Linked DNA regions of Struthio camelus. The main gene of each other region encodes a partner of the protein of the gene in region 2 in a complex. Links are inferred from orthologs where the notes say so. Each region holds a gene or a part of one and is shown on either strand. Other genes may lie near its edges.

Region 1 (6,841 bases), on a different chromosome or scaffold from region 2:
CAATAGGGAAGAGCAGACGCTGAAAGCAATGGAAATGCAGGTCTAGAGGAAGAAGCTTTTTCAACCAGCTTTTTCAACCCCGCTTGCAACAGTGGTCACAGAACATCCATGATCAAGGTTACTCCTAGATGAACAGAGCTAAAAGCTACTGGCCAAGGATGGGTGCAGGCACTAGGGCAACTGGAAGGTAGAGGCTCAGAGCGGTGCAGACACTTCCACCTTGTGGGACAGGTTGCTGACTCCATGCAGCATGCATGGGATGAAGGGGAAGAAGACGACAGAGTCTTTTGTCCCACTACCCTGGCAGATTCATCTCCATTCCAGTCCTTACGTGTTGCATTTCCTGGGCAGGGCATAACCTTCCAAGCCTGGGCGCACAGCAATGTTGCTGATGGTGTTACGGCAGCTGCGGCACTGGATAGCTATTTTGGTGGCTTTGGCTCTCACAGGTGTTGCTGCAATTATAATCCCAGGGATCTTCACAAGGTGGGACATCTGGTCAGACTGAAAGGGAAAAGGTGAAGGGAAGGTGAGAAAGCACATTGCTGGAAGACTGACAAGAAATTTAACCATGATACAAGATGTTAAAGAAACATGGGGGTACCAGAATAAAAGAAGTTTACACTTCTTGACAACTCCATACTCTTGCTCTATAGTAGCAGGGGAAGGTCGCATGGCTTTAACTACTCTGCCTTCAAAGCAAGAGAGGTAAGAGGATAAAACACTACACCTAGAACACCCCTAACAGCAGTAACGTCCCCAAAGCAGGAACCAATCAAAATAACCCTGTGCAGTCAGATGTAAGACGCATTATATTCCTGTGCGTAAATTAGTGAACAACTCGTGTCCTGAAGTAAATAATCAAGTACTTAAAGTTCCCTCAGCAATCCCTCCCTCTCACGAGCAAGCCCTGCCACCTGTTTCTCCACAGAGCAGCTAGATTCACCTCACCTTCAAACTGCGGATGTTGGCTGCATTGGCATCTGATCTCAGCATGACCTGGATGTCTTGCAGAGTTTCTTCACCTGAAGGACGAGGACGGGTGACCTCATCTGCAACTTCTTTTGCTGCTTCTTCCAACTACAAAGGGAATAACTAGGCTATTACTGACATACTACAGTGTAATATCAGGACTGCTCTCGTTACATGACTGAATGTCAGCGCACCAGATCTCCCATTCCCTCCATCCTTACCAGCTGAAGGTGCTCCGCTGGTTGCTTGTACAGATAGTCAGCAAGATCTTCATCAAAGCTGGCTAAGTCTTCCATCTCCACCTCAATCCAATACTGACCCAGGTTATAGTGCCGTTTAAGCTCATCCCTGCAAGGCAGTAGGTAGTAAATGCTTGCAGAGCAGAAAGCACTAATCTTAACAAACGTGTCCAGCCACCATTCCACAATGACCCTGTCACTAAACAGGGAGAAGAGAAGGCAGGTTCTGCATGGAGTCCTTAGTTTGGAAAATTGGGAAATTCCCAATTTCCTTAAATTGGGAAAATAGGGAGAGCTCTAAGAGAAGCCAAGGGGGTCCTGGGCAAATCTTTCATCCAAATACTCTCTGAAATGTGACACAAGACCAGGAACACTAGTGCTTGCAGTGACAGTGTAAATTTAGTGCTAATACTTTAATTCTAGAATCACAATATCAGATGTGCAATTCAGGAACTCCTATACAGAATGTCTATTGTACCTAAACTGCGATTCTAAAAAACAGGATGTAATAGCATAGCAGGCAATATTCCCCTTATAAAAACTAGGGTGCAAGAAATTCAGACATGAAAGGTGAAAGATTTCCCTGACCCTTGCATGATATGTCTCCATCTTCTCTCTCCGTAGTCTCTCCAAGTTGCATAGGCAAAATGATAGCCAAGGGACCTTCAGAGCCTCAGAGGGCATAAGCGAACAGTGCTTTACCAATTTTAATACTCCCGATCAGACCAAAACTCTGGACCAGGAAGCACTAAAACTTGAAAACAGACCTTGAAATTCTGATCTAAGTGCAAGTTCGACGATGCAGATCCCGCTATTCCTACCTCTGCCACTGTAGACCAGACTACCGCCTAAGAATTTGGGAGAATGCCAAACCTCAGTTTTCCCATAAGCTCAAATGGGAACAATGTCATTTCTTATCTTAACAAAGAGCTCTTCGGGGTCTACAGGAAGGAAACAAGCTAAAATACGCTACTGTATCCTTTTGACTTACATAGCAGAAGGCAGGTTAAGAGCGGATTGGACGTGCAAGGAGGAGTGAGTGAGTAAGGCTACAGAGAGAGAAGAGCGGTTGCTACAAGTCACAGCAGCACCTGTATTTGAAGGTGAAGCCTGTCCGGTCCGTGCCCACCCGGTACTGCCGTAGAAACTCCTTGAACCGTTTCTGCAGCTGGGACTTCCGAATCTGCCCTTCATCGGCCGACACGTCACCCCCAAAACTGTCGCTGTAGTAAATACCGGGGTCGTCGAAGCCGGACATGGCAACCACGATTCACTGAAGGGGTGGGAAGACACGGTCAGCCCCCTGCCCGCCTCTTCCTCCCCCCAAATGTCTCAGGGGGTCCCCACCCTCCGGTGCCTTCCCTGCTACACCGCGGTCCCGCAGCCCCTGCCCCATCCATGACTCCATTACTCCTCCCAACCTGCCCACCCCCCCCAAAAAACTCTCCCCACCCCCACCCCGCGCTGCTCTCCCTGCCCCACCGACTGCGCCAATAACCCCCCAAACTGCCCCCTCGCCCCCGCCCGCGGGACGGACCCCAGACCCGGAGCGGCTGGTGCTGGGACAACCGCAACTCGTCCGTCCCCCCCCCCCGCCGCCCGGCTCCGCACCTCGCCGCTCCCCGGGAACCGGCCCGCCACTTTTCGCGGCAAAAGCAGCGCGCGGCGCTAACAAACCGGACACACGCCCCCTCCCAAGCGCGCCGCTGCTGCACGCTCCTAATTGGCCCGCCCGCAGCGCGCCGCCCCGGATTGGCCCTGGCCGTCCTTTCCCTCGCCGCCCCGCCCCCTTCGGCCCAGGCCGCCGCCGCAGCCGAGCGCTCCGCCCCCTTTCGGCCGGGCGCATTTGGCGCGAAAACTGGGAGAGAAAGGGAGGGGAAAAGGGGAGGAAAATGGCGGATCGGGCGGGACTATTGCAGGCGGCGCGGGGGAAGGGGGGGGGAAGGCGGGCGAAACCATAGCTGCCGGGGAGGGGGGGAGAGAGCGCCTAGAGGCGAGGCTGGCGGGGCGGGTCCCTGCGTGCCGTGAGTCGAGTGACGACGTTAATGGACACGAATAAAATAAAGCGGCGATTATCGCAAGGCTGGAGGCGGAGGCAGGGAAAACCTTGGGTTGTCTAGCCTTCCTGCCTGCCTAGATGCTCGTTGCTGACAGGCGTTGGCAGGAGGTGTTCAGCTGAGGGCCTGGCAGCTCTTCACCCTGCTTGGCGCTCCAGGTGTTGGCCCCGGGCCAACCCCCCCCCCCCAAACATGGAGGGGGGTGCAGTTTAATGGGGCTACAGCTGCCTCTGAAGCCCATCGGGTCAGTGGCAGCCTTTAGTGTCCTTGGGCAGCGCTGGGGTCACCTCTGACGCCCGCAGAGTGGGGATAACAGAGATCTGTGGGGATTAGTTAGCGTTCATACAATGTTTAATCAATGCTAATTTGCCCAGAGAGGCTGTGGAGTCTCCGTCCTTGGAGATACTCAAAACCAGCTGGACACGGTCCTGGGTAACCTGCTGTAGGTGACCCTGCTTCAGCAGGGGGCTGGACCAGACGGTTCCTGCCAGCCCCAACTGTTTTGCAGTTCTGAAGTGACAGGTACCATAGGCCAGATGAGGAGCACTCTACTGAGCCGCGAGAGGTGCCTCCGAGCGCGTTCAGAGCCCTTTCTGCAAAGATTGTATGGGCCAGATTTGTTTTTGTGCTCCTGCCTTTTGGGGCAGCTCTTCTGGGATGCAACCTGCCCTCGAGCTCTGACATCGGGACAGGGGGATGAGGGCTAGTCCTTAGTTCAGGTGACAGGTCCATAAAAGGGAGAGAGGGGAGGGGAGGGGAAGGGAGGGGTCATGTGCTTTGGACATGAGTCATGTCCAAGTCACTCCATTTGGCAAGGAGTCATCCTTGCTTTGGGACATACTGGAAAAGGGAATGGCAGGTGGTTGGACTGCCCAGAGTCCCATAGGGAAGACAGTACTTACACAGCAAGCCAAATACGCATATAAACAGACTGTTTTTTTAGGATACGTTTCCTCTGGGATGTTTTTCTGCTAACTACTACTGAATTTTTGGGGAAAGCTGACTTGTCATTGGGAAACCATTATAGCTCCTAGAAAGTGGGGTACTGCACATATCAAATGAAAACCAGAGCTGGGAAGCATAGTGTGTTGCAAGGGAGATTTTAACAGCACCGGGTGGAAATCTTGTCAGCTGTAGCTATGCTGTAGGGAAGCCAGATATTTTCATAGAGCTTATAGATTAGTACAAAGCAAAGTTTTAGCGTTCACCTCTGAAGACTTGCTTTAGCTCAGTCTGGCATCCTTCTGTGTGTGGTACGGCAGTGGCTGTGAGATAACTCAGAGCATGATACTCTTCTGCTATGAACAGGAAGGGGGATGGTGTCAGTTTGAATCCAAGTTTCTTAACTTTGAGGTCACAGCTATGGTCTCTGAGGGCAGCAGAGCGGGGGGCTGATTGTGCTAGAGTGCATTTTCTGAGCTCTTGGGCATTTGTTTGCATGTTTGGGAGGTTTATTTATTCAGCATGGTTGAATGAACATAATGATTTAGTTGGGGTGGCTTAGAGAGACTGAGTAGGTGGAACTTAAAATAAATTTGAACGAATGAAATGAGTTATAGGATTTGAATAGCTGTCAAGCCTAATATCCCTGCTTTTCACACATTTGACTCTCTTTTTAACAATTAACTTGTTTTCTCTTTTTCTGGGGATCGGTGAATGGGTCCAAATAGAGAAGCATTAAAAGAGATTTTACAAGAAAAATAGGATAGACAAGAGCCTGATGATAATGACAGTCTCTCTTTCTCACTGTTTATTCTCTGTAGGACCTGCCTTCTGATTCTTGCTCTTTGAGTAGGTTAAGTGCTGATCATTAATACAGATCAGTAGCAATAAATGCCTTTGGGATTAAGGCTACAGCCAGAACAGGCAGCATCATGAAGACAGGTTGATCACAGAGGCTCCTCAGGTAGAAAGGGGGGAAGGGACTCTGAGCTGAAAGGTAATGGCCTTGTCAGTATCTGCTCTGTTACACTCAAGATGCAGCCGCTCCTGCAGTTAACTTCTGTATTAGAAGACCTTCATAAGCAGATAAGGCCTATGGCCATAACAGCAGCTGGCCGCACCTCCAGTTTTGAGTGAGCAAAAGGGGAAAACAGAAAGCTGTACACATGGACTGCTCCAGCACTGCTACTTATTTGTACTGTCTTTAGGAACTCCTTGTACATGCCAAATTCTGGCAGTAAGCTGGCTTGGTTTGATTGTTACCTAGTTGAGGACATGCAGTTACATGCTTGATGTCTCTGGTTTTGATGTCTTGTAGGATGAAAAGCTAGTATGTATTTTGTTTGTGAGGGGTGAGAACATACTTCTTTTTCTGGTTCATGGTGATGTTCTCAGAAAGGCACTATGATTAACAGCACCTGGCCCTTAGCTGCTACAGGGCAGGGGCAACAGCCCTAGTTTAGACCAGCCAGGAGCCCAGTCACCTTTTTCCTTTTAATAGAATAGCAGCTAACTCTTAGGTCTAGCTTCTACCTCTTAAAGATACTTTGTACAGTCACAGAATTTCATTCAATTTCTGGAAATAGAGACCATTATGAAGCTTAAGAAACCTGACTGAGCTTGTACAACAAGTTATTGTTAGAACAGAGTGGGAACAGAGTCTGGTTCTGGTAACTCCCACTTTTGTCTATTGTCATATCTGTGGAGGCAGCAGCTCCAACAGACATAAAATTGAGAGGCAGAAAGGCACCTCCATTCTCCCTGGATATGGCTTTAACAATAGGAAACACCAGGCCTGAAGATTTTACGTTAATGTTTATTTTATATATATATATAAATTATATAACAAGACAAAAGATCAACACTGTATCTTCAACAACTGTGTTCTGCTTTTTAAAAACCAAAAGTGATTGGAAAAAGATTTAACCTACTAGTGTCATATAAAACAGTCTATAACCCAGAGGAACCATGTGGCTCCACAGAAATAGTGATCACAGTATCAGCTAGCCATATAAAATATTGAGCAAACAGGGCTCCGGGGAGCTTTTTCTTTCTGAGGCAAAACATGATGTCAAACCTGCGTTTCTGATTTTGTAGGATTTTTGCAGGAGTTCTATAAAACAATGACAATTCCTGGCCACTGCTTTTAGGCCTTTTCTGCCCTTATGTTCTGGTGATAAATTTAGTCTCTGGCATAGCTCACACCAAGCACAGGAGAGACTTTGCCTGAACCCCCTTAGCACTCTCTTTGCTTTCTGGGGAGAGAAGCCTCCTAATGTTAGTGACAGAGCCAAGATCACAGCACCCAGCCAAGGAGAATTTCTCTCAGAAGGCCTGGGGAAGATGGATTAGTTCAGGGTGAGGGAAGGCATGAAGAGAAGGTGACGGTTCTATTTGTTCACATGGCAAATAAGCCCACGGCGACTGTTGTGGCTAGGAAGCTGAGTGCAAGGATCCACCGCACAAGGGGAGTGGTGGGTAGCATTTCTGTGTGTCTCATATTTGTCTTCTCTCTTTCTTTCCCAGGCCCTGGACCTAGATTAAATAGAAAAAAAGTGGGTGAGATCAGGATGAGGCAAGAGGCTGCCAGTATGCCATGCTAGCCCTCCACAGTGATGGAGCTGACCCTGG
Region 2 (7,929 bases):
AAATAAGCGGAGGGGATCATAACTTGCCCAATGCAGCAGCGCAGTTGGGAGAACCAAGTTCCTGCGTGCGAGTGCTCGGGCAACGGGGTGCTTAAACCCCAGGTAACGTTCAGCCAGAGGCAGGCATGGGGGCGGGAGGGCGGCTGGCGTATTAAATACACAGCAGGCACAGCGAAGCAGCGCGGCCTCGGCCGAGAGGCCTGAACCCGTGCCCTCGCCGGGCGCTGCGGCAGCCGCAGGGCGGGTTTAGCCCCGGGAACGGCGTTTATACCTGCATCGCCGTGCGGGCAGCTAGCATCGACGCGGCTCTCGCGCTTCGTCTGTTGCTGCCGTGGGCTGGTGCTCGCCCAGCGCGTAGATCTCCTGCGCGGGCGCTTCCCTTGGCTGATTTTTTTTTGTGTTTTAAAATCACTGATTATCTCCCGACTGCCGCGGCTGTATCCCCGGGGCTGGCCGCGGGCACAGCCGCGGGTCCGCTTCGTGGTGCGTGCTCAGGCTCGAACAAACCGGCGAGGTCTCGTGCGGCCCCCGACTCGTTTTGCCCGGGGGTGAACGGGTGACGCGGGGTGCTTATTTTGGCCTAGGCGCAGTCGCTTCGCCCGACAGAAGCGAACTTCTCTGCTTGCTTGTCCGGCGTGCACCCGCTTGGCACCCGTGCGAGTCTGGGGCTTGGTTGGTGGTAGGTGACTCAACCTGGGAATAAACCTGTTCTCTGATGAAATATGAAGAAAATAACCTAAGACCAAAAAAATAGGGAGAAGTCACCTAGTCCAGCTCCCTGTGTTACATGACAACGCACAGCTCTGTCGAGCCTGCTGTAAACACGCTGCTTTGGGAGGCTGTAAGCCCTCCGCAGTAGATTTGGCTTGGTGCTGTTGGACAGGCTTCCCTGATTTATAACCCGAATCGCTGTCGCTGCCGCTCGGGCCCGTGAGTGCCGCCTTACTCGCTGGCCGTGGACAACATGCGGCTGCTGCCCTCCTCTCGGTGTGCGCCCTGGGCTGCTGCTGCCCCTCCGAGTCCTGTTCTTCAGCCTAAATACCCTGACGGAAAGGAAGGCTTGGGGACAGGGGCCACCGTGCTAACACGGGCCTGTCACCTTGGGCAGCTTTAGGCTAAGGGCTTCTAACAGCATGTGGATCGGCGGTTTGAAAAGGCTGTTTTGGCTGTAAGCGCCCCTATGGAGCTGCTGGGTCCGAGCTGCTGGCCGGCCCGGCGCTGCCCCGGCCGCGGGTGGACCTGGTGGCGGTGAAGCATCTGGCGCTAACTCACTCGGGGGACTCTGTATGTTTTCCTCCGAAACAACGGGGAGCCGGACTCGAGCTTCCCGTCCGCAAAAGGGAGAGCGCGGCAGTAATCGTGCCGCTCTTCGCCAGCCTCGTCCGGGTAAGTCGCGCGATTCTTCTGAGACGATGCTTTCTGACCGTGACCTTGGCCTCATTTCATCTGAGGATTTTAAGGACTGCTGAAATATACCGAGCAGTAATGCAATAATTCATTTGCTCGTTTCACTGAGGCACGGGTGTGGGGAAGGCGATGCCTGCGTGAGCGCTGCACCTGGCTAGAGGAGGGGCGCGCGGCCCCCGCAAGGCCTTAAGGAAGCGTCTACAGTTGTGCTTACATGAAAAATGGCTCTGCCAGCTGTAACGATAAGTTAGACTGCGTGCGTGTAAACAGCGCCAGAATGAAGGCCCGTGGCCGATAGACATCTATCTTTATTATTTCTTTTCTCCCTGAGGTTACGGTGACGGTCCCTCAGTGTGGCGTCTCCAGGCACGCCGACGAAGCGTTTGACGGGGAAGGAAAAGTGGAACGGCTCCGCTGCAGGAGGCGGCGATCTGCCCGTGGAGTATGCAAATACGTTTCTGACCAGGTATTTTTCAACCGCTTTCTTTGCTGTTCAAGGAGGCAGTCAGGTCCTATCGCCAATCCTGCCCTATGGGAAGGGGCAGTAAACTGATGGTGGCTCTAGGCGGGACAGCGAGCTGCCTGCTCACGTGGCCTCTCCGTTATCCTGAGGCTGGGATCGCTGTGCAGATGAACCGCTGGCAGCTGTGGGCCCGAGCGGGTCGTTTTACAGCACATCCCCTTTTTATGGCTGGTTTAATATATTTTTCCGCATGTTTTATTTCCCTTGCAGCACGCGCGGTGCCGTCAGCCAGACAGCCGGGACAGGCCCCCGGCAGCAACCCCACAGGCCCGGCAGCCTCGGCGCCAGGGCTGCCGTCGCAGCGAAGAGCTTTTCTGGCCCAGCCCGCGTCCTCAGCAGCTGCGGAGCCCGGTCCCCGGGGCGCTGGGGCGAGCACCGGCTGCCTCAGGCCCCGGGGGGCTTCAGGTCCCGAAGGGAGCAAAGCGTCCGCGGGTCAATGTCTGGGTTCACCCCCCTGGAAAGGGCTGTTCCAGCCTGAACAGCTGGACTGGGCAGGAGGCAAAGACCCAGGGGGAGCCCACCGCGTTTGCGGGGCGCAGCAGCGCAGCAAGGACGCGACCTTTCCAGCTCGGCCCCGGCAGCAGCTCCCGGTCCTCGGACCCGCGTCCCCCAGGACTGCACCTGGCTCGGCCCTGCTGGATACAGCCCCAACAGTAGCAGCCGGGTTCACTTTGGGGGAAAACAGGGTCTCTCTGCTCCGAGCCAGCGCTCCGCTCACCCCCCCGCACAGGGCACGAGGTGGGTGGGTTGAAGAGGAGGAGAAATCCCCTTGGGAGCAATGGGGCCGGTGCAGGGAGAGACTAAGTGAGGTGTGGGGGGGCAAAAAATCAGCGAGGCTTTTTTTGTGGAGGGGGGCGGGGGCTGAGCCCGAGCCCGGGAGAGGCTGAGGGAAGGGTGTTGGCCCCCCCTCCCCAGCCTACCCTGGGCCTGGTTCAAGCCTACGCCCCCTCCGCAACAGGGACTAAGTGAGCTGTGGGGGGGCAAAAAAGCCTCGCTGATTTTTTGTCCCCACACACCTCACTTAGTCTCTGCCAGCACTGACCCAATGCCTTTAAGAAAGAGGCCAAGCCCGGGGGGGGGGGGGGGGTGCAGTGAGATATTTGTATCCCTGGGGCTGCCAAGTCCCAAACCCTGGGATCAGGGGATGCCGGGGCAGGATTCGTCCCTGGAGATGGTCTCTGCAGCGACGGTGGCCTCCCCCCCCCGCCCAAGGGTGCGCAGATGGTGCCGGGCTCCAGTCGCAGGCAGGTCGCCCCGAGCAGGGGCTGCGGAGGGCGGGCGAGGAAGGGGCCTGCTGAGAGCGGCGCTGGGGCTAAATAAACAAACCCTGGATTGAACACAGCGAGTGTCGCGCTGCTGCTGCTGCTGGGGGGGGGGCTGCACCGCTCCAGTGTGTATTTATTTCCCAGAGCCAAAACCCCGCAGCGGGCTGCGCCCGTGCACGGTCCCACTGCGCTTGTCCCCGGCGCAGCAGCGCAGCCAGGTGGGACGCAGCTCCCAGAAGCGGAGCGAGCGCGGGCTGCGTCCTGCCGCGGCTCCTCCGCGAGGGGTGCGCCGAGGCGACCCGCAAGTCTGCTCCTCCTGGGGCTGGAAAGCGCCTTCAGCGCCTCTGGGCGGCGGCAGCCGGCGTCCCACGAGGCGGCTCCCGGCAGCGGGCAGGGAGGGCGCTGCCAGGGGCCAGGGACCCGCCACCAGGACCTGGCAGCACAGGGCGCGCAGCCCGGCAAAATCGCAAAATCAAGGCGCGCTCGCGCTTCTCACCAGCAGGGACAAAAGCCCCGCTTCCCCGAGCAGGGCCGGGGCTGCGCTGCAGGCGGCTTTGCAGCCCTCCGCGGCGAGCGGCCCCAGCTCCAGCCCCCCGGCCGGGCTGTGACAGCCCGGGCTCCCCAGCGGCGCTGCCGGCCCCGCGGCGCAGCCGGCCCGGGGCGAGCGGCTGGGAAAGCCGCTCTCGGCCACGCCGAGCCCCCGGCAGGGGCGTCCCGCCCAGCCGCGCTCCGGCACCGCGCACACGCGTCGACCGCGGCACCGGGGCCGTCCCGCTCCCACAGACCTGCTGATTGCCGCGGCTCCGGGTCCTCCCTGCTCACCCGCTGCGCCAGGCTCTGCTCCCCACCGAGGGGCGACAGCGGCGTCTCCATCCCGCTTCCCCGGCCGGCCCCAACGGCGCCACGGACACGATCCCGCTGCCTCCTCCTGCTGTCCCGGCGCATCCTCCGGGCGGGCTGGAGAGCGAGCCAGGAGACCCCACAGATGAGGGGGCTGGAGAGAGATCCTGGAGACCACTGCAGCACCGACACCAGGGCAGCGGGTGCTTTCCCCGCCGCCCCGGCGACAGAGCTCGCTGTGTCCCACACACGAGCCCCGGCCGGGCTGGAGGACGCCGCGCCGCCGCTGGCGGCTGAAGGGCAGCTCCCAGCTCCGGCCCTCAGAGAGCAGCAGAAAGGGCCAGCCGCAGGGGGAATCTGGGCTCCTTCCTCACCCCTTTCCCTGGCTTCCAGCGCTGGGGTCCGCAGCGCAAGCAGCGTCCAGCCGTCATCCAGCTCCCGCCGTCGCGGAGCGCCCCCCGGGCGGGCTGCGAGGGTCGCGGCAGGGCGGCCTGGAGCTGGGCAGAGGCCCGCGGGCGACCGCGGAGCCCACCCCTGCGTCACCGCGGCGACAACGAGCGTTACCCGCCGCCGCCCTGCCGGGCTGGCCGCGGCCGCGGCCCGGCGGGCACAGCGCCGCCCGCCCTCGCCCCCGGCCCCGGCCGCGCCCCCGGCCCCGCTCACCCGCAGCCGCCCGCCGCTCCCGCCCCGGCGCGCGCGCGGGAAACCGGCCCCGCCGCAGCCAATGGGGGCCGGGGGCGGAGCGGGAGCCGGCGTGACGCGCTCCCCGGGGGCGGAACGTCCTAACGCTGGCTACCGCCCCCCCCTCTCCCCCCATCGCGTGCGCCTGTCTGCGCGGTGCCGCCGGGGCCAACGCTCCGCCCCCCGGGGGCGCGTCACGCCGCCCGCGGCCCCCATTGGCTGGGCCGCGGGGCCGGTTTCCCGCGCCCGCGCGCGCCGCGGCAGCATGGCCGGCGAGCGGGCGGCGGGGCTGGTGCGGGAGCTGCACCGCGCCGCCGGCGGGCACCTGCCGCCCTTCCGGGTGAGCGGGGGGCCGCGGGGCGGGCCGGGATCCCGGGGGTCCCGAGGGCCCCGGGCTGACCGTGTCGGTGCCGCAGGCGGAGGGGCTGCGGCAGGCGCTGGAGGAGATGCGGGCGCTGTACGAGCGGAACCAGGCGGACGTGTGAGTGCCGGGCCGCGGGCCGTGCCCGCCGCCGGGCCGCGGCGAGCCCCGCACGCCCGGCGGCACCGGGAGCGGCGTCTGCCCCGCCGTAACGTGCCGCCTCCTTCTCCAGGTCCGAAGCGAAGTCGGGGCGGACGGACCTCATCTTCCTCATCCGGTTTCGCCACTGCTGCCTGCTCCGAAACCAGCGCTGCGTCGTGGCCTACCTGTGAGTGCGGCAGTGCCGGACCGGGCGCTCCGGCTCAGCCCCTCGGCAGAGAGCAGCTGTCGGGGGCATGGAGCATCCCTCTTTCCCCCCTGCTCTCTGAAAGCTTTTAATTAGCAAATAGATCCAAAACCACCGCCTTGAAAGGAAGGAGGGTGGAACGACCCCGGTTTTGCACTTTGCTTTGAGGAGTGATCCGAGTGTCTGCATTGCCCAGGTGTAGTGCCAGCGCTGGTCTCAGCAGAGAGACCTTGGAGCGAGGTCTCTCTCTCTCTCTCTCTCTCTCTCTCTCTCTCTGTCCCTTCTTTCTTCCCCCAGGTACGACCGGTTGCTGCGGATCCGCGCTCTCAGGTGGGAGTATGGCAGCGTCCTGCCAAACGCCATCCAGTTTCACATGTCAGCGGAGGAAGTGAGTCAGCCTTGTCCCCTTTTCCCTCCCTTCCACTTATTCCTCCCCAGAAACCATCAGGTTAGCCGAGTCAAAATAGGATAGACTTTTTTTTTCCACTCTAGATGCACGATGTTTTGTGTGCCTTTCTGCAAGTATCCGTTTGTTTCCTCATTGTCCTTCCAAGGATGCAATCCCAAACGGATGCTGAGTGCAGGCGCAGCTTGGCACCGTTCGGGATCAGAAGGTCGTCACCCGATCGCCCTCGCACCCGGCGCGGCAGGCTCTCCCTGTGCTCGTCTCAAACGCCATTTGTAAACTGAAGTACAGCGCTGCTGATCTTGTTTCCAGCACGTGTCCCAGTCTGATCCCCGGCTGCCCTGTGCCTGGGGCAGTTTATTCCCTTTAGAAGAGCTTGTGCGCTCCTTCGGCTGGCATGAGCACGCCTGGGAACAGTGGTCTGACAGCACAGATACACCAGAGCCGATTCATCATGGACCTCCTCCCTCAGCATTAGCTATGCGGGGGCATGGAGATGTCTCTCTCAGTAAAGGTTCTTCTTTAATCTTAAACTTGAGAGAATCACTTTTGTCCCAAGAGTGGCAAGGGCAGACCCCTGGGTCCTAGGCAGAATCCCTGCTGGTTAGTCCCAGTAGCGCAAATCCCTTTGGTCCTGCTAGTCTGGATTTTTGTAGCAGAATCTTGCATCTGTGGGTGATAACGCGGCAGTTTTGTTTTTAAAGGCTTAAAACCGCCTCTTGAAATAAAGCTCTGTTTGCTGTTAATGTCCACAGGTGGAGTGGTTCAACCGGTACAAAAAATCTCTGGCCACCTACATGAGGTCAGTAGGCGGAGAGGAGGGGCTGGACCTTACGCAGGACATAAAGCCTCCTAAAAGCCTGTACATCGAAGTAAGTGCAGGACTGGCGGCTTCTGTCTGCGTTGGGGGTGGCGGGAGGCACTTGACCGAGCCACTCTCCTTTAGAGATCTCGGCTTCCTCCCGAGCTGGGGAGTTCACTGAGCAAAGCCATTCGATAAACTCTGCCCGCCAGTGTTTTACTCTCTCTTCTTCTGAGAGCTCAAAGTATGTTGAAACATGGCATTTCCAACCTGCAGGGAACCGGTGTGTGTGTGTGTGGGGGGGGGGGGGGTCTGAATTACTGTGAAAACTTTATGCAGCATTTGTCTTGCAAAAACTGAATTTTGTCTCCCGAAAAACTCTTTGGATCAACTAGAAACCTCGTTCCCATCTTGAAGATTGTCAACTAGTTTCCTTTGTTGTTGTTTTAAATGGACTTTCATGGATGAGACTAAGCGTTGTTTTATACAATTGATGCAAGAGAGCACGAGCACCTGAACAACGGATTCGGAGGCAGGAGCTGCAGCGCTGTGTTCTGATGGTCTCTTAGGAAGAGACTTTCTAGGGGAACTAAACCTGCCCCTGAAGACGGTTTCACTGGCGTTCACAGCCTGGCATTTTCTGGCATGCGTGGGGGGGGCCTCTCCTGGCAGCGCTGCTCTTCCAGCAGCCTCCGTGGAGGGCCTGGGCTGCCCGCTGGCAGGCAGGTGCAGGAAGAGAAGGTCAGATAGAGGGAACAGGCCACGGGATCCATCTGGTTTTGCGTTTCAGGTGCCTGTCCCAGACGGAGGCTCTGCCAGGCGGGCAGGAACGGCCCCGTACTTACAGTTTGGGGGCGTGTGCGATACGTCGGCAGCGACGTGCTCCTCAGTCGGAGAGCTGCTGCTGCAGAGAGCTGCCCTTTGCCTTTGCAGGTGCGGTGCTTAAAAGACTACGGCGAATTTGAGATTGATGATGGCACCACCGTCCTGCTGAAGAAGAATAGCCAGGTACGAAAGACAACCGAGCGGGGTCCTAACCCCTTTCCTGCTCCTTCTCTTCCCCTGCGCTCCTGTGACGCTCCCCTGCTCATCCCAGCTTCGCAGCACGTTGCAGTTGCTGCACCCAGCGCCTCGCACGCGCTGCAAGCCGCCTGCGTGCCCCAGGACCGCTGTTTGACCTCGTACTGCTACACACGGCGGCGCAGCACAGAGCAGGCCGCCTGCAGCAACGCATCCAGGCGGCCTGGGTCTCAGGGAAAGTTTGTCTGTGTTCTTGTGCAGCATTTTTTACCCCGCTG

Evidence for each region.
Region 1: GINS1 (region 2) and MCM5 share a complex: the UniProt entries of both Homo sapiens proteins name them as parts of the CMG helicase complex. The link is inferred for Struthio camelus from reciprocal best matches to the Homo sapiens genes GINS1 and MCM5.

What each region holds. Positions count from the first base shown.
Region 1 is NC_090942.1:59,823,549-59,830,389, forward strand, and holds the start of MCM5 (DNA replication licensing factor MCM5), read right to left. Parts: upstream 3,005-6,841; 5' UTR 2,823-3,004; exon of another isoform or gene 2,749-2,822; intron 2,485-2,748; 5' UTR 2,470-2,484; coding exon 2,303-2,469; intron 1,321-2,302; coding exon 1,194-1,320; intron 1,081-1,193; coding exon 952-1,080; intron 505-951; coding exon 332-504; intron 1-331. Other genes in the region: HMOX1 (heme oxygenase 1), read right to left, coding at 6,609-6,745. UniProt on the Homo sapiens protein: Acts as a component of the MCM2-7 complex (MCM complex) which is the replicative helicase essential for 'once per cell cycle' DNA replication initiation and elongation in eukaryotic cells.
Region 2 is NC_090944.1:139,909,547-139,917,475, reverse strand, and holds the start of GINS1 (DNA replication complex GINS protein PSF1), read left to right. Parts: upstream 1-4,929; 5' UTR 4,930-4,981; coding exon 4,982-5,056; intron 5,057-5,132; coding exon 5,133-5,197; intron 5,198-5,309; coding exon 5,310-5,405; intron 5,406-5,720; coding exon 5,721-5,811; intron 5,812-5,915; coding exon of another isoform or gene 5,916-6,113; exon of another isoform or gene 6,114-6,322; intron 6,323-6,584; coding exon 6,585-6,701; intron 6,702-7,564; coding exon 7,565-7,639; intron 7,640-7,912; coding exon 7,913-7,929. UniProt on the Homo sapiens protein: Required for correct functioning of the GINS complex, a complex that plays an essential role in the initiation of DNA replication, and progression of DNA replication forks.